3 linked regions of the Schizosaccharomyces pombe genome follow. The protein of the gene in region 1 interacts with the protein of each later gene in a biochemical or structural test. Each region holds a gene or a part of one and is shown in the gene's direction. Other genes may lie near its edges.

The links.
Region 2: the proteins of rad51 (region 1) and sfr1 form a complex in vitro, tested with the Schizosaccharomyces pombe proteins (5 studies listed by BioGRID).
Region 3: the proteins of rad51 (region 1) and rad24 form a complex in vitro, tested with the Schizosaccharomyces pombe proteins (one study listed by BioGRID).

Annotation. Positions count from the first base shown.
Region 1 is NC_003424.3:2,697,610-2,704,298, reverse strand, and holds rad51 (RecA family recombinase Rad51/Rhp51), read left to right. Parts: upstream 1-4,029; 5' UTR 4,030-4,194; coding exon 4,195-5,292; 3' UTR 5,293-6,189; downstream 6,190-6,689. Other genes in the region: mrpl9 (mitochondrial 54S ribosomal protein uL3m), read left to right, coding at 523-1,302; rna15 (RNA-binding protein), read right to left, coding at 1,362-2,605, 2,646-2,670; rpp101 (ribosomal protein P1), read right to left, coding at 3,381-3,641, 3,778-3,846; SPOM_SPAC644.13C (Rab GTPase-binding protein), read left to right, coding at 6,204-6,689. UniProt on the Schizosaccharomyces pombe protein: Required both for recombination and for the repair of DNA damage caused by X-rays. Binds to single and double-stranded DNA, in the presence of magnesium, and exhibits DNA-dependent ATPase activity.
Region 2 is NC_003423.3:1,576,797-1,582,380, forward strand, and holds sfr1 (DNA recombination mediator Sfr1), read left to right. Parts: upstream 1-3,659; 5' UTR 3,660-3,891; coding exon 3,892-4,791; 3' UTR 4,792-5,084; downstream 5,085-5,584. Other genes in the region: ppi1 (cyclophilin family peptidyl-prolyl cis-trans isomerase Cyp2), read left to right, coding at 1-21; Prp19 complex subunit Cwf7, read right to left, coding at 611-1,140, 1,180-1,213; SPOM_SPBC28F2.05C (xylose and arabinose reductase), read right to left, coding at 1,379-2,209; ERMES complex subunit, membrane tether and lipid transfer protein Mdm12, read right to left, coding at 2,331-3,152; hrd3 (HRD ubiquitin ligase complex subunit), read right to left, coding at 5,307-5,584. UniProt on the Schizosaccharomyces pombe protein: Involved in DNA recombination repair and meiotic chromosome segregation.
Region 3 is NC_003424.3:3,380,195-3,386,185, forward strand, and holds rad24 (14-3-3 protein Rad24), read left to right. Parts: upstream 1-4,032; 5' UTR 4,033-4,073; coding exon 4,074-4,143; exon of another isoform or gene 4,144-4,342; intron 4,343-4,550; coding exon 4,551-5,293; 3' UTR 5,294-5,491; downstream 5,492-5,991. Other genes in the region: SPOM_SPAC8E11.04C (palmitoyl-(protein) hydrolase), read left to right, coding at 562-634, 706-790, 902-949, 1,005-1,150, 1,265-1,587; RecA family ATPase Dmc1, read left to right, coding at 2,138-2,210, 2,285-3,210; inv2 (beta-fructofuranosidase), read left to right, coding at 5,853-5,991. UniProt on the Schizosaccharomyces pombe protein: Acts in cell cycle and stress checkpoint signaling by sequestering signal transducers regulated by the checkpoints. Required for the DNA damage checkpoint that ensures that DNA damage is repaired before mitosis is attempted.

The DNA of each region.
Region 1 (6,689 bases):
GTAAAATACTTGACAGAAATTACATCGCGATGGGAAAGTATTGTGGTTGTACAAATAGTAATTATTCGCTTTTATCCGTCCAATATACCACACAAATGAGTATAAAGTAAGATGAATATTCAAACCTGTTGTAATTTTTTTTTTAATAAAAAAAGAGAAAAAAGTAGCTTTACCTACTCCGTTATGCATTCATTGTTCGATGTCTACTGAAACTCTTGGAATACCTTACTATAAGCAATATAGAAGGGCTATATTTTACAATTTTAAATATTGTCAGTTAGTATTTCTCATATTATTGACGTGACTTAAAACGCAGTTGAATTGCTCTTCTCATCTTACACAGATACTATCTGAGAAATGTTTAGACTATGAAGTTGATTCACCTCAACTTCCTATCAGATACGTTACAATGCACTAAATAAATTTTCAGCAAAATAACGATGAGCTTCTATACTCCGAACATCGTTGTCAACAAGGTTTCCTACTCAACCTGCTTGAAGCTTTGTAAAGTCTGCTGAAGAGATGCAATCACGGTTCTTAATATCCCCGACTCTCATTCGAACCTTTGCACACCATGCAAATTTAACCCCTCGAAAAATCTTGCATGATTTACCGGAAGCAGCGCATGCGAGGAAGCAAATTCCATTGCGACCAGGCGTGATTCTTGTCAAAAAAGGAATGACTAATGCTTGGGATGAGAAAACTGGTATGCAGGTTCCCTTAACGATTCTACAATTTGATAGAGTGCAGGCAATTGATGTGCGTACAAAAGAAAAACATGGTTATTATGCAGTACAAGTTGGATCAGGAATCCGCAAGCCTAAATCTATTACTAAAGCAGAGCAAGGGAATTTCTTTTCCCATAATATCTATCCAAAAATGCATGTCCGGGAGTTTCGAGTTCGTGATGCGTCAGGATTGGTATCACCTGGAACCATTTTCACTACTGATTATTTCAAGCCAAAGCAATATGTCGACGTTAAAGGCATAACAAAAGGAAAAGGATTTGCCGGTGTAATGAAGCGATGGGGATTTTCTGGTGGAAATGCATCTCATGGTGCATCTTTATCTCACCGTACACCAGGTTCTACAGGTCAAAATACTACACCATCCCGTGTGCTGCCAGGAAGGAAAATGGCAGGACATATGGGTCATAGGAGTAGGACAGTGAAAAATTTATTGGTTTGGGCGGTAGATGCAGATCTCGAGTGTATTCTCGTCAAAGGATCCATTCCTGGTCCGAACAAAAGTGCGGTTTACGTGACAGACACAATAAACAGAAGTACAAGTGCAACCAATTAAAAAAAAAATACTTTTTTTTTCTATCTCATTTAATATTTAACGAAACATAATACATTAGTCTATTTACTCTCCGTTTTGTAACTACTAGGCAATGCTTGTCGAATTTGAAGGATTCGCTCTTTTTGGTCAGGAGGCAAAACATTGATTTGATCATCTGTCAGTGCCATTAATTGAGCTATTAATGCAGCCTTGGTTGCATTTTCATCTTGTGCTGCAGTTGTAGTAGTTATGTTGTTGGTAGCATTTGTAGTAGCTTGTGCAGAAGTTGTAGTTAGGGATGGGCTTCGTATGGAACCAGATGAGGGAATACTGCTTGACCTGATGCCTGTTGAACCATAAGCTGGATTTGCCATTCCATAGGCAGGGGGAGCGGGATTATAAGCTGAGGTAGTAGGAAAACCTCGAGCGGGAGAAATTGGTACAGTGGCAGAAGCAGGGGTTGAACCCCGCGACGATCCAACGGCTGCAGATGGAGTCGAAGCATATGGTGCGGCGTGCGAACCATACATTGGTGAAACTTCGGCGATTGTTGAGGAAGCCCGTCCATATGGAGCAGACGGCACACTAATAGGTCCAGGAACTGCAGAGCTATACGTATGCATGGGTGAAAAGTAACCTCTATTAGGTTCTTGCGCACCTGGTAAATTAACACCGGCCGGAATCAGCAAGTCTGCCACTACGGATTCAGAGGTGTATCTTTTCATAAGCATAGCTTGAAAAACAGCATAACTCAATTGGGGATTTGTCTCAAAAAGTTGAGCTGCTTGCTCCGGTGCTTCCAAACAAAGAGCTTTGATAGCAGATAACATATAATCAATTTCGTTAGGTGCAAGTTGTGCTAACACGCGATAGACTTCATCATTTGCTAAAACGCCGGATGGCCTCGCAGAGCCACCACGATAGCCAGCAGGGGGATATGAAGGATATCCATAAGACTGAGGCAGAGGTTGAGTAGAAGGTTGGGTTGGAGGATACGAACCGAAGTTATTTCCATATGTGTAAGATTGATTGGCATAAGATTGAGGATAATATCCATATCTTGAAGGACCTAATAATTTATCAAGCCTTCGTATTTGATCAGCGGTTGGGAAATCTACACGCAATCTACGTGTTCCAGCATCGTAGTTGTTAAGGTTTCGAACTGCAGACGCTGCAGTAGCAGGATCGTGATATTCACAAAACCCATATCCCTTTGGTTGCCCTGATTCAGGGTCAATGACCAACTGAAAGGATTTCACAGGTCCACTTTGCTTAAAGATGTCAATGACCTGTTCCTCAGCCATTTCATAAGGAATATTGCCCACTACTTATTAGAATTACTTTTAAACAAAAATTTAACTTACCATAAACCACACATGATGGATTCATGTTGTATGTGGTAGAGGATAGCTGAAGCCCTCGCGTCTTCCTTGGGACGGTGTTAGTAAAAATGGGCAAATGATGTGTCGAATATTTTTCGGAATCAATCCCAAAAGTAATATCAACTTTAAAGAGATAGCTAAATAATTTTATACTTCAGCCAGAATTAATAAAAGCATCGCATACACAGTGCCTAATAACTAAGAACTCATTCATTCAGCAAGAAATTTGTGAACAATAAATGATAATATCTCCTTTCATACTTACATTTTGCAAACGCTAACTTGTAAAAACCTGCTTAATGTATAAAGATCAGCCAAAAACCTTACACTTCATTTTCCAACTACGGTCCTAATTACAAAGGGCCACAAACTCCTACACTCCGAGGCCGAGATGTATTAAAATTTCAAAATAGCGCTATAATGCTTATTATTAAATATTAGTACTAAAACACTCCTACCGATTAACTTGAAAAATTTAATATCAAAATATGCAGTTCGTACTGTGAATCAATTTACACCTGATAATATTACTTCACATATGTCTGAAAATCACCAACATTGGCCATACAAATAGTTGGCGCAGATCAAAGGCGGTTTCATAAAGATTACTCGGTCTAAATTTTTAATTTCAAAACACAAGAAGATATTAAGTGAGATATAGAAAAATGGTTATTTTTTGAGTTGGATCAACTAGTTCATGCTAGCAGATTAGGGAAATTAGTCAAACAAACCGAATCCCATATCTTCATCAGATTCCTCCTCTTCCTTGGCTTCCTCCTTCTCTTCAGCAGGAGCTTCGCCATCAGCGGCAGCGGGAGCAGCAGCACCGCCAGCAACAGGAGCAGCACCAGCACCAGAGCCAATGTTTAATAAAAGTTCCTTAAGGTCCTTGCCCTCAAGAGCCTTAGCGAAAATGGTAGCCCAAATGGGTTCAACATCGACGTTGGCAGCCTTGGTTAAAGACAAGAGCTTGTCAGACTACGCAACAATTAGTATAAATTAATTTAACAAAAACCGAATAAGAAGGAATAAGACGACTACACGCTATGGAAAAGATCTTTTACCAGTATCGGTAGAAGTACATTCACAACTTTTCTAGTAAAATATAACGTACGGTGATTTCAATACCCTCGTCAGCCAAAATGAGAGCTGAATAACTGGTAGCAAGTTCAGATGCAGACATTTTGACCAGTGCTGTTCTCTTGTTGTAAATGCAAGTGTTAAAAAACTGTGTTTTGTTTCGTTCCCTATCTCGTGACTATTTTTACAGCCCTACCCTAATGTGTGTGTCTATTTAGTAGGTGTTACCTTGCTAGTACTAGGTAACAATTGATTGAAAACGCGTCGGACGCGTTTTAATTCCTTCACAATCCCTACTAAGCAAGAAAATTCTTGCCATAAACCAATTCTTTCTCTAACAAAACTATTTCCTTGATTTATTTTTTAAAAACCTAATCTTTCTTTTCTTTAATAATATAAAAAACTCTTTTCAATTCCAGAATAGTGATAATTTCGTGCTTAACAAGTTATAATGGCAGATACAGAGGTGGAAATGCAAGTTAGTGCAGCAGATATGAATAATAATGAAAATGGACAAGCACAATCAAATTATGAATACGACGTGAATGTACAAGATGAAGAAGATGAGGCCGCCGCCGGTCCTATGCCCTTACAAATGTTGGAAGGCAATGGGATTACTGCTAGCGACATAAAAAAAATTCATGAAGCCGGATACTACACGGTGGAATCAATTGCTTATACTCCTAAGCGACAACTACTTTTGATTAAAGGAATTTCTGAAGCAAAGGCTGATAAGTTACTTGGCGAGGCAAGCAAACTAGTTCCTATGGGATTTACCACCGCCACTGAGTACCATATTCGAAGAAGTGAATTAATTACGATTACAACTGGATCAAAACAACTAGACACTTTGTTACAAGGAGGCGTTGAGACTGGAAGCATTACAGAATTATTTGGTGAATTCCGTACCGGTAAAAGTCAAATCTGCCATACACTTGCGGTAACCTGTCAGCTTCCTATCGATATGGGTGGTGGTGAAGGTAAATGCTTATATATCGATACAGAAGGAACTTTCCGTCCTGTTCGTTTGTTGGCTGTTGCAGATCGATATGGCTTAAATGGTGAGGAAGTTTTGGATAACGTTGCATATGCTCGTGCTTACAATGCAGACCATCAACTAGAGTTGCTCCAACAAGCGGCAAACATGATGTCTGAATCCCGATTTTCATTGTTAGTTGTCGATAGTTGTACTGCCTTGTATAGAACAGATTTCTCTGGTCGTGGAGAGCTCTCTGCTCGTCAAATGCATTTAGCAAGGTTTATGCGGACGCTACAGCGCTTGGCAGATGAATTCGGTATTGCTGTTGTCATTACTAATCAGGTGGTCGCCCAAGTGGATGGCATTTCCTTTAATCCTGATCCCAAAAAACCAATTGGTGGTAATATTCTTGCCCATTCGAGTACCACTCGACTTTCTTTGCGGAAAGGTCGTGGTGAGCAACGCATTTGTAAAATTTACGATAGTCCGTGTTTGCCTGAGAGCGAAGCCATATTTGCCATTAATTCTGATGGTGTTGGTGATCCCAAGGAAATTATCGCACCTGTCTAAATTATTTTAGTATCGTTTCATTTTTATTTATTATTTTGCAAATTCTATGGGATGAGTTTGTAAGGATAGATATGTATGTGATGCTTTTTTGATAATTTCCTTACGATTTACTCTGTATCTCATATTTTTCTTTCAAGTATGCTCTTAAAAAAGAGCAAAAACCATTTGATCACACTTATTAACTCTCTGCTAAATCTTCATTACGTTTATTCGCATTAAACTATCAGGTTTTTGTAATTGCCATTAATTATGTTTGGGTGATTGGGTTACATTGGTGAACAAAATGTTTCACTTAAATTAATATTCGCTAAAAGTTTTTCATAGAAGTTTTCGTTCTTTTTTACATTTAAAGACCTATATGATTATATTTATCTCTACTACCCAAAAATGCTTGTCTTGTTACAAATTCAAATAAAAAATTAAATATAAAAAGTTTGCTATGGTATTAAAGTAAGAAGAATTTCTTTCTTTTTCTTTCTTTTTTATACTAAAGAAGCCTAAGGATCCACTTGCATTAAAACGCACGCAAAATGCTAAATTCTTGAAATTTTTACTATTATTTTGAATATTTGCATTGACTAAAGTAGGACTTCATGTTCAAGCTTCATTGAACTTCTGGGATTTCGGTTGCTTTACTTAATACAATATTCTTTTTCTTCTTTATGTATTTATTAGCACACTTTTATCAAAAATCAATTCTTAAGAGGATATATTGTAAGTTTTAGGAACATAATTAAATTTTTATTAGATTCACTGAAATGATAGTTAATTGTATCTTTAGGATTCATGGTGGTGGTATCTTACTGTTTTGAGGACCAGCATAGTAGTGTGCTACTACAAAATTAACAGAGAAATGTACCAGCGAAGTACCAAACCAAAACCATACTCAATTACCATCTTATATTTTAGAAATGACAGACATAGGAAAACATAACACAGAAATAGAACAGGATGAAATGGAAAATCTTCTTCGCATGGATCCTGTTCGATCCAGCCTCGATGTGGAGTCTCGAGCGATAGAGCCGGACAACATTGCTGGAGAGTCAATTGTTGAAACAAGATTCACTGGAGGAGATTCTCTGGACGAACCCATTCGTGTTACATTATTTAATGAATTTAGAGCTATTGGTGAAAAACTCGTCTATGTTTTGTATCCCAAAAATGCTCAAGTACTACGCGACTGGGACTTGTGGGGTCCTTTGATTTTTTCCCTCGTAATTGCTTTAGCACTTGCCTTGTCTACTGACAAGATTGAACGAGAATCTGTTTTTACAGTCGTTGTCGCGCTCATATGGTTTGGGGAAGCGGTTTGTTCTTTAAATATAAAATTACTAGGGGCCAACATTAGCATTTTTCAATCTATGTGTATATTGGGGTACTCCTCTTTCCCTTTAATG
Region 2 (5,584 bases), on another chromosome or scaffold:
GACAAGTGTGGTACCGTCTAAGCTTGTGCTTTTTTAACTTACTCGTTGATGCATTTATGAAAAAGAACTATTGGTTCCTAGATAGTCATAGTTCATCTAACGACAATTTTTCCTATAAAGTTTGCGATAAATTTTTGTAAAGTATTCGAAAATGTAAAGAGAAAAACTTTAAATTAAGAGAAATCATTCAGCTGTTAAACGTATAAGTAATAATAAGATTTCAGTAACAAGGAAGCTGCGACGAAGTGTTTATAGCTATTGATCACGATCCATAGCATATAATCAAGAAAGTACGTATTACTGAGGTTAGACAAAAAGTAACTTAGTTAAAAAATCGACGACTTGGTTGGCCCATAATAACGCGCATAGTAGTAATTGTATTAACATTTAACTGTTTACTAGGATACTCTTATCAAAAGTAATCCTAACCTTAAACGAAAACCGGGAGTCTTTTTGATGTGAGGCATGTTTAATTATTTACATAGAAGTCCATAGTGCTAAGGAAGCTTAAGTTAGTCACCCTGGATTATATCGAATTACCTTAACGCAAGAATGTAACTCTGATTATGATATTCATTAGGGATAATATTTACGTTCAATCAAATTGATATTATGACAAGAGAGTAGCAACACGGCACTGAATGCTGCTCTGCAGCAATTGTCCAAACTTTACTTCAGCTTCAGCAAGTCGGGCACCCACTTCCATTTGATAATGCTTCCTTTTACGATTACATCCTTGCGAAAGTTTTTTGGTGTTTACTAACTCTTTTTCTAATAATTCTAGCTGAACTTCTAAAGCCTCCAACGAACTATCAAATGCTTTTTCTCCATGCTTTTCTAGCAAATAAAGGTTATCATTGCGAGATTTTTGATATTCCCATACAACAGCGGACTGCAACAGGCTTTCACGGGTTCCCGGTGGTTTTAGCTGTATGTAGCGTTGAACGTCGATGGCTGCAAGTTTTTCTCCCTTTCCAGCCGCAACAATGGCATTTTCCAGTCGATCTGATAAACGATGGGATTGAAATTTCTTTTTCTGTTCCTCTTGTTTAATTAGTAAACCTCCAGATCTCTTTAGCTCCTCCTCAACAATTTGAGCAGCTGCTGATCTATCTTCTTCGTTATAAGTAGATTCAAAGTCTAAATAATTTGATTAGAAGACATAAAAAAAAAACTTACAAGGTAATGAATCCAAAGATATATTATAACTCATTTTATGCAATCCAGAAAAAATCCGCCCTCTCCATTAGACGTTCGTGGTTGGTATTTGGTTAGTGCTCAGCACTTTGGAGATACCACATATTTTACAAAGACATAATTTATGATAAGCTACATACAATGAGATATAAGTTTAACAAAAAATCATTTTTATAATGTTTCAAGGAAGTATAATAGGATTCCAAGTAGGTTTACTCACGAATTCTTCATCCCAAGTATCCATGACATCCATATCTGATGGGTCAAGCATGAATTGCTCAGCCTTCACGTTCTCATGGATATGAACAAACGACGAAGCTTTGAATATTGGTGAAACCCCTTTCTGAAGGCAATAACGAAGAAGAATATTCGCCGGTGTTTTATTGTACTTTAAGGATAAATCTAAGAGTCGAATATCACTAAGACGATATCCTCTTGTTAGCGGTGAAAAAGCCTGTACTAAAATACCGTGATTAAAACAGTAAGAAAGAAAAGTAGGCCTGTTATTGAATGCAGAAAATTCGACCTGATTAATAGCTGGAAGGGGCAACCCAAGACTGATAATTTCTTCCAAATGATGAATATTATAGTTGGAAACTCCAATTTTGTTTATCCTTCCTTCTTTTTGATGCTGCAATAGTGCTCGCCAAGACTCAATACGGCGTACGGGCCACTTTGGTGAATGTATTAGCACGACGTCTAACTTTGGACGACCTGTTCTGCGAAGAGACTGTTCGACCGCTTTCCAGGTACGTTCAAATCCTTGTAAGGAGTCAGGAATCTTAGTTATTAAGGTGATATCTTCACGTTTAATATTCACATTTTGATGGCAGAAATCTTGAATGGCTTGTTCACATTCTTTTTCATTTCGATATGTAATTGCTGAATCAATTACGCGAATACCAAGCGAGAGTGCCTCAATTACTTGCTGGTAGCAATCCTTAAGTTGATATACACCAAAGCAAAGTTGTTCCTTTTCAAAATTGGTTTGAGAAGGAGAAAATGGTTTCATTAACGTAAGTTGAGGTAGATGAGAGAGCTCAATGTATAGACAAAAATATTTTCTAAATCCCTAAACCTTTAAGTAGGAGATTAAAGGAAATTTTTTATATATTTAGGATAATTGTAAAGAATTATTCAATGGTTATATAGCTAGGCCAGACAAGTTCATCCTCAATAATACGTTTAACTTTTTCCGATACAAATTTCTCGACTTTAGCAACATTTTTTAGCAGCTGTTTATTAGATTCTCCAATAATACTTTCCACTGTTAAATCTCGAATAACACTTGATGCATGCTCTCCAGTTCCGTGCAGCAATGTATCAACGAAGCATAGATGCGTCCGCTTTCCCATTTTAGCCAAAACAGCAATGGCATCGATGGAAATCCTAATAAATGAAAGTTTGAATGGAAGAACTGCAAATTCAGAGTTCGGGTAATTCATCGATAGAACCGCTTCCAGGCTTAGATTTGCGTCTCCGTCATAAGATACGTGTGCAGTAACTTGGAAATCGTTAGAACGATCTCTTTCTTGATGATTATCCATTGGAGTACTTGGGCGACTTTCAGGAATTGGGCTTGTGAGTCCACTTGCAGATAGAATCCCGGGTGAATTAAATGCGGGATTAAAATATGCTAGTCTTGAAAATGGATGTTCAGCAGCGTAAGGTGGAAGATCCGTAAGCACTGGTGAAACATTATTGCGGGAGCATTGATCACCCTCTAGTTCTTGGTTAGCTAATTCGAAAGCTTCATTTTCATAAAATTGGGGATCAGGATCGCCGATTTCTTGAATAGTAATCTGAGGTGAGACTTTGCCGAAATGGAAGTCAACAACCTTTAAATGCTTTATATAAGATGGTAGCGACAAATTCGAAACTTGTCCTTCGAGAAGATGTAAAACTTTTGCTTCTAATTCTGAGTCTAACTTTGACCAATCAAAGTCAATAGACATTGTTCTGCAATTGTAAAAAAAAAATACGAACTCTTGAATCTCTCAATGACGATTGTAGCAAGTTTTCAAAATTTAAGTAATTTCTTCGTCAACTTGGTTAATGAAATAATATTTAAACCGGTTCTCTAAATTTTATACGAAGACGGCATGAATTTGATACTTTAAACAAAATCCTCCAGCAATTTTAATGTCCTTTCCTTCAATGTTCTTTTTTACTCATCGAGAATTGCAAGTGAATTTTTAAGATATCTATTTATCTTAAATATTACCTTCTGTAGGTACCAAAATCTTTTCTCCTAGTATTGTCAGTAGAGTTAGGTGGTATTCCCAGATTACCTTCTAACAAAGCCTACGCGGTTTAAAAAAGGTTAAAAAACAAATTTGTAAATTAATAAACCTTTTAGTTTATTACTATCGTAATTTGTATAAACATTTAATTTTTTGGAACCACCAGTCATGTGCTTCAGTCTTCTTCTACCTAAGTTCTTGTTGCTTGCTGTTATTTTCACCTTCTGCTAGTAAAACGTTTTCAACGTTTATCTGGAATTTGTGGTATTTCTTCATTTCTATAACAATTAATATTCAATTCATTTAATTATTTGAAGTTAGAGTTTAAACATTCAACTATTACACTCAACGCGTTTGTTGACAAAAGTTACGCGCTTCATTGCATCTTTGTTATAATTTAACATTCACTCTTTCATCTTCGAATTAGTACTTTAAAACGATTTAACTGAAAATGTCGCAAACAATTAACTCTGAACTCAATGAAAATGCTACTTCACAGTGTAAAGAAGATTTGAAAGTTTCCCTAAGCGAAAGTGATTTACGTGACTCACAGGGTCAGTTAGGAATAGAAAACCCTCCTAAATGCAATAACAGTGGCAATCACTCAGATAACCTAGGTTTTATCGAGCAGTCAGAAACAGTACATCCAGAGAATGAGAAGGCTTTGACGCCGGACCTGCGAGATACAAAAATACATACTTCTTTACCAATTACTACACCTTTTTCAAAGAAAAGGGCTCGAGAAGCCAAAAATATACTTCTTAAGCCGTTCAAAAGCCCCTTAAGACAAACTGCCAGTCCTCAAGTTGCAGACACTAATCTAAAACCATCGTTAGCTGTAACAAATCTTAACTCTGATGAAACAAACACTTCTTCAGAACCTGTTACTTCTCCCTTAAGAACAACGCCTAATTCAATAAAACGGCAAAAACGACTTTTCAAGTCACCTATCTCTAATTGCCTTAATCCAAAGTCCGACCCTGAAATCACACAGTTGCTTTCTCGTCGTTTAAAACTTGAAAAAGAAGTCAGAAATTTACAAGAGCAGCTCATAACCGCCGAAACTGCACGAAAGGTTGAAGCCAAAAATGAAGATAAAGACTTGCAAACGTTGATACAGAAATGGAAAAATGCTGCTCAGCAAGCCGCTGAAGTACTTTTTAAACCAATGGCTGAACGTATTCGTTTGGCTGGAGGTGTTACTCAGTCCTTTCGTATTGAAGAAGGTGAAAATAAAGGGCAAATTCAGGAAGTACGAACTGAATTTACAATGAGTATGTTTCTAAATCAGTTTGGTGTTCCTGTTCATTTGATGTCTTTTGATGAAGAAAATGGTGATTGGAAATCGTAAAGGACTCCTTACTATTGTTAAAAAAATTTTCGTTCGTACTAGTTAGAAAACCTTTAGTACGAACTTAAATATGTTTAGCTAGCTTACACCAAAATCAAGGGTATACTAATTGAACGTACAGAGGTACCTTAATCGTTTACATACAAATTGCGCCGAGCTGGTATCGAAATTCTTTACATGTAACAATGAATCGTTCCAGGCTGAGTTTATGACTTTAATTTATATAATTATTAGCATTATACAATAACATGTCTCATTAATTTGAAATTTCTTGATTTTGAACCTTCTGGTTCTAAATTTTTTCTGGAGATATTTAACATTCAAACAACAAAAGTCGATTAATTGGCTGACAGACAACAAATATAGATCAACCAATTGAAAGATGAAAAACAAAATTTATTCAAAGCATGATTTAATCACCGACGAACCCTAACATACATATATTTTTTATTCTGCATCCATCGAGCAACAAAATTTTAAATTAGAACGCAAAAAAATCGAAGATACAATTTTTATTAAGCGCGGTTTTGTCTACGGATGATTCGCTCACGTCGTTCTTGAAGTCGATGCTGTTGATGGCGTCTCATTAAAACCAGTCCGACAACTACCACAATAAGCGTGACACACGCAGTCTCCAAAAACCTTCCATCAATGTAATCATAAGTGAAACGAATATCATTATAGGATTCACCCATCTCTTCAGTATTAGGCGAGGGCAAGGACTCAGACGTTTCTTGAGGGTCAGGTTGTTGTGGTGTACGATCTACTTGTAGTGTTGGTGGTTCTGGGGGAA
Region 3 (5,991 bases), 680 kb from region 1:
TAGGAATATGAATACGCGATTGATATTGAGTAATGTTCTGGCACAAGCGTTTTCAGCTGACAGATTTAAGCAGTCTGTTTTATAACTATTCTCAAGTAATACTTTCCCATTGAAAATAAAAAGTTATTTTTGTAATGTGGTTGGATTGTATAGTACGACTCTGCGGTTGAAGAAATGCAGAAAGCATCTTTGGCTAGCAATATAAATAACAAAAAAAAAAAAAAATTAGTCAAGCTAATTTTGTGTTTTATAAACAAAAAAAAAAAACCTTTGGAACAAAATTCTTAGTATACAAATTGCGATAACGTATTGTAATAGCCAGCACTCAATTTGGATTCTTAGTTTCAAGATATACATATATCGCTTGGATTAACGCTAACACCATTTTTTACGATTATTTTTCGCCTGCAAAAGAAAAAATCATAAGGGAAATATTATATATTTACACCATACCTTCGCTTTTGATTCAATTAGCTTTGATACAAATACCTGTCTTATAAAACTGGTGTTTGCCCTATTGCAACACCTCCATTCCCTTAGTACTTTTTAAAACGTTTCATTATGACTGCCAAACTCAATTCAGTAATAATTAATCCCAGCGTGGCGCATACGGCCACTGTGATTTTCCTTCATGGTATGAACGATGATAATGTTGAGACAAACATATCGTATATTTTCTTCATAATAGTAACACATTTATCTTAGGTTTAGGAGATAGTGGACAAGGATGGTCTTTTATGGCAAATACGTGGTCGAATTTTAAGCATATTAAGTGGATCTTTCCCAATGCGTAAGTAAAAGAATGTATTTAATCATGCAATTGTCTAAAGTAATGTGTGATGAATGAATGAGAATTCGCATTACATACTTTGTATTTTGATGCTAATTATTTTGTATATAGTCCATCTATCCCTGTTACCGTCAACAATGGCATGAAAATGCCAGCATGGTAAGTAATTGTTCTGCTTGATGATAAAGTACAATGTTCGCTAAAACTTTTTTAGGTATGATATCTACAGTTTTGCGGATATGAAGAGGGAGGACGAGAATGGGATACTACGTTCAGCAGGCCAATTGCATGAATTGATTGATGCAGAACTTGCTTTGGGGATTCCTAGTGATCGCATATTAATTGGCGGATTTTCACAAGGTATGAGCTGCCATGAAAGCGGTTAACTCGCTAGTCATTGCATTTTCAAAAAAAAAGTGAAATGGTTTTCACTTTTCAAAAGTATATTGCTTACTAACTCGTCATTTTCTCTAGGTTGTATGGTTTCCCTTTACGCTGGACTTACCTATCCCAAACGTTTAGCAGGAATTATGGGGCATTCAGGGTTCTTACCTTTGGCTTCAAAATTTCCATCCGCTCTCTCTCGAGTTGCTAAAGAGATACCCATTCTTTTGACTTATATGACCGAAGATCCTATTGTTCCCTCTGTCTTGTCGAGTGCTTCAGCTAAATACCTCATCAACAATCTACAGTTAAAATGTCTCGATCGACCTTTTGAGGGAGACGCCCACTCTCTCTCTTCAGAATCGTTTATGGCTATGTATAAATTTACTCAGACAGTTATTGGTTCACCATAAGTATTGTGTTTTTGGTGTTGAGACTTTGCAAATGAAGGAAATTGACGAGTCTTTTGCACTTTTAGAGTTACTCATAAAATTAAATAAGATTTACCGTGATTAACTTTTCCCTTTTTTAGAAAGCAGTTTCATACTAGTAACTTAAGACTATGAATTGTCATCCCATTTGGTAGGTTCTCTCCAACAGTTTTACTCATTTATGGCATTTTAAGGATTGAAGCATTTTGTTTTGAGTATAGATACTATGGAGTTTAGTTTTCATTTTTAGTAGCAATATTTCGCGACGCGTTCATTGTTTACATGTAGCTGCATCAAGTATAATACATGATTATGAGTGCATATACTCTATAGTTGAACTTGTAAAGTAATTAAACTAAAGAAACAAATAGATCTACTGTTTTTTTGTTGTGATTTAGAGAGGTAATTTTGGGAATTTCCGCAATATATATATCGTGGATAACTACAGCAATTCTTCTTTCTACATAGTACGAACAACAACCAAAAACCGTGTAATTTGATTAATACACGTTCAATATAAAAATAAAGTGCAATGGAAGAATTCGCAGAGGGGAATGATGATGAACAAATGATATTTAGTGACATTGAAGACCTAACTGCTCACGGTAAGCTTGAATGAGTATACGGCAGTTATAAGACTCCCAGTATTTGCTTTAAATATCTACTAACATAATCAAAGGGATTGGTATGACCGATATCATAAAATTGAAGCAAGCAGGCGTTTGTACGGTGCAAGGAGTCCATATGTCCACAAAGAGATTTCTCCTTAAAATCAAAGGTTTCAGCGAAGCCAAAGTGGATAAACTGAAGGAAGCGGCATCAAAAATGTGCCCAGCAAACTTTTCCACTGCGATGGAAATCAGTCAAAATCGTAAAAAAGTATGGAGTATTTCGACAGGATCCGAGGCACTCAATGGCATCCTTGGAGGGGGAATTCAGTCGATGAGTATTACAGAAGTATTTGGAGAGTTTCGTTGTGGTAAAACACAAATGTCGCATACATTGTGTGTCACTGCCCAGCTTCCTCGAGATATGGGCGGGGCCGAAGGAAAAGTAGCATTCATAGATACAGAAGGAACATTTCGACCTGATCGAATCAAAGCCATTGCAGAACGATTTGGTGTAGACGCCGATCAGGCTATGGAGAATATCATTGTCAGTAGAGCATACAACTCTGAGCAACAAATGGAATACATCACAAAATTAGGAACCATTTTTGCTGAAGATGGCCAATACCGTTTGTTAATTGTCGATTCCATCATGGCACTATTTCGGGTTGACTATTCGGGTCGCGGGGAATTATCAGAAAGGCAACAAAAATTAAACATTATGCTTGCTAGATTAAATCATATTTCTGAAGAGTTTAACGTAGCGGTCTTTGTCACAAATCAGGTTCAAGCAGACCCCGGAGCAGCAATGATGTTTGCGTCCAACGATCGAAAACCTGTAGGAGGCCATGTCATGGCTCACGCAAGCGCGACCCGTCTGCTGTTAAGAAAAGGTCGAGGTGAGGAACGTGTCGCAAAATTGAATGATTCTCCAGATATGCCTGAAGCCGAGTGCAGTTATGTGATTACACCTGGTGGCATAGCAGACGTTTCCTAATTGATTTTCTACCTATTCCAAAAAAAAAACAAAAAAAGAAGAGAAATAAGAAAAAAGATCAGCCAAGTTCAGCAATGCCTTTTATCATTGCGTTTGTGCTTATGTTTTAACAAAATTGAGTGCACTGATTACGTTAATGTTAACATTTTACTGCTGCAATACTATATCTTTAATACAATAATCAGTTCACTATTGGTCTCTAAAATGGCTTTAAAGAAAAAGTTTGGATGAGAAGCTCGCGCCATTTTAGATAACCAAACCAAGATTTTCTTAACTACACATTTATCAAATAGTTGCGAATGGCGCAAACCCCCAAAAGCAACTTATTCTTACGAGTCAACAAATTTGTTTAAGTAGTGTCATGTGAAGTTGCTATCGCATGTATCAATTAACAAAAGCTGAGCGCCTTTCATTGCAATCGTTGGACAATCTGACTTCCACCAAACAATTATATCGTGTGAGACAGAATTCGTCATCACCTTTGTTCCAGTTTATTTCCCGATTCTATGAAGGCCTGCAGATTTGCACGTGTTCAGGCACCTTCCTTTCGATGTTTACCTTTTGCGTCAATATGACAAAAGGGGTACAGTTTCTCTTGATCCGTTGCCAAGGATGTGTTTACCCCGGGGCTTTGTCGCAACAAACGAGAACAGTCCAGCAGCCAGGTTTTTCGATAACCTTCTGTCGTGCCGATAAATTACGATGCGCAGTCGCTAAATTCGACATACAGAAGCACAGGGCACGTTTACGCAGTGCTACGAAATTTTACTGTGGGAGCAGTCCTTTTTCTACCATACGACGTTCCGCAACCTTTCCAGTGCCAACCACCACGATATACTCACATTTTCGAACGTTTGGTAAAAATGTCTACTACTTCTCGTGAAGATGCTGTTTATTTAGCCAAACTTGCTGAGCAAGCCGAGCGCTATGAAGGTATGTGCTTTTATAAGGTTTAGAGACGCGTAGAGCAGAGATATATTTGGTGTTATTTCTGCAAGAACAAAATTACACACATCCAAGGTTCTATCGGCGGAAGCTTTTGAGTAAGCGGGCTTCCTGTAAAACATCGATTGCATTTATTTTTGACATAGTTGTGATCAGAGGCTTAGTTGGTAGAATGTTTGTGTTTGTGTGTTGTATGGTGGTTGTCAAATGAACTGTGCATTGGCTATGGTGATGTTGAAAAGGTGTTTTAGTATTTCAACTTGTTTCCTAACTTTATTTCTAATTGTTTTTACTCCGAGAAGAAATTTTTTTGTTCATACAGACATACGGAAAATACATCATGCTGCGCATCTCGAAAGTCGAAATCCTTATGTACTTATCACTAATATATCCAGGCATGGTTGAAAACATGAAAAGCGTTGCCTCCACTGATCAAGAATTGACCGTCGAAGAGCGTAACTTGCTCTCTGTTGCTTATAAGAATGTAATTGGAGCTCGCCGGGCGTCTTGGCGTATCGTTTCCTCCATCGAGCAAAAGGAGGAGAGCAAAGGCAATACTGCTCAAGTTGAATTAATTAAGGAATATCGTCAAAAGATTGAACAAGAACTTGACACTATTTGCCAAGATATCTTGACCGTTCTTGAGAAGCACCTTATCCCTAATGCTGCCTCTGCCGAATCCAAGGTTTTCTACTACAAGATGAAGGGTGACTACTATCGTTACCTTGCTGAGTTTGCCGTTGGTGAGAAGCGCCAACACTCCGCTGATCAATCTCTTGAAGGTTACAAGGCCGCTTCTGAAATTGCTACCGCCGAACTTGCACCTACTCATCCTATCCGCTTAGGTCTTGCTCTTAATTTCTCCGTTTTCTACTATGAGATCTTGAACTCCCCCGACCGTGCTTGCTACTTAGCCAAGCAAGCCTTTGATGAAGCTATCTCCGAGTTGGACAGCCTTTCCGAGGAATCCTACAAAGATTCTACTTTAATCATGCAATTGTTGCGTGACAACCTTACCTTATGGACTTCTGATGCTGAATACAGTGCCGCCGCTGCTGGTGGTAACACCGAGGGAGCTCAAGAAAACGCTCCTTCCAATGCTCCAGAAGGCGAAGCTGAGCCCAAGGCGGACGCATAGATAGCTCGTTGCTCATGATTGATGCCATACTTTCACTACTATGAACCAATTTTAAAAAATTTATTTGTCTAAGAGTTCTTTTTCGTTTAGATCTTGTGTACTACACGATGGAATAGTCTCATTACATTCTCGTATATTTTCTTCTAATTTTTTTTTCTTTTTGTCTTTCTTTAAATTTCTTTTTTTTTTACAGTCGTAGTATATGTGTGTATTTGGTAGCTGCTGTAAAAAATACAGTAGTTGGACGACATTTTAATTTCGAGTACACAACCCGTAATGATTTGCTTGGCTAAGTGGGTGTTGAGTTAATCAAGCAATAGTCTAGATAGATGTGAGTTTCAAACTGAAGAGTTGGTAGATTGAGAATGTTTAAGCCTATCGGATTGAATTTGAGCTTTTTGACTGATTTGCACCGAATTGCTTAATATTCCTTGCATACGACCGATGTACCACTTTTTACACAAAGCTTAAAAATTTGTATGTTCTAGTGATACTCAAACATTATTAAATATAAAAGCTTTAAGTTTGCATATAAAACGCACAGTAAACATTTGAATCGATGCCTGTGAGACCATGCATACATTTCACGCCTCCAGAAGGATTTATGAATGATCCCAATGGTCTGGTTTACAGTAATGGAAAATGGCATTTGTTTTTTCAATGGAATCCAACAGGAAACCAAGCCGGTAATCAACATT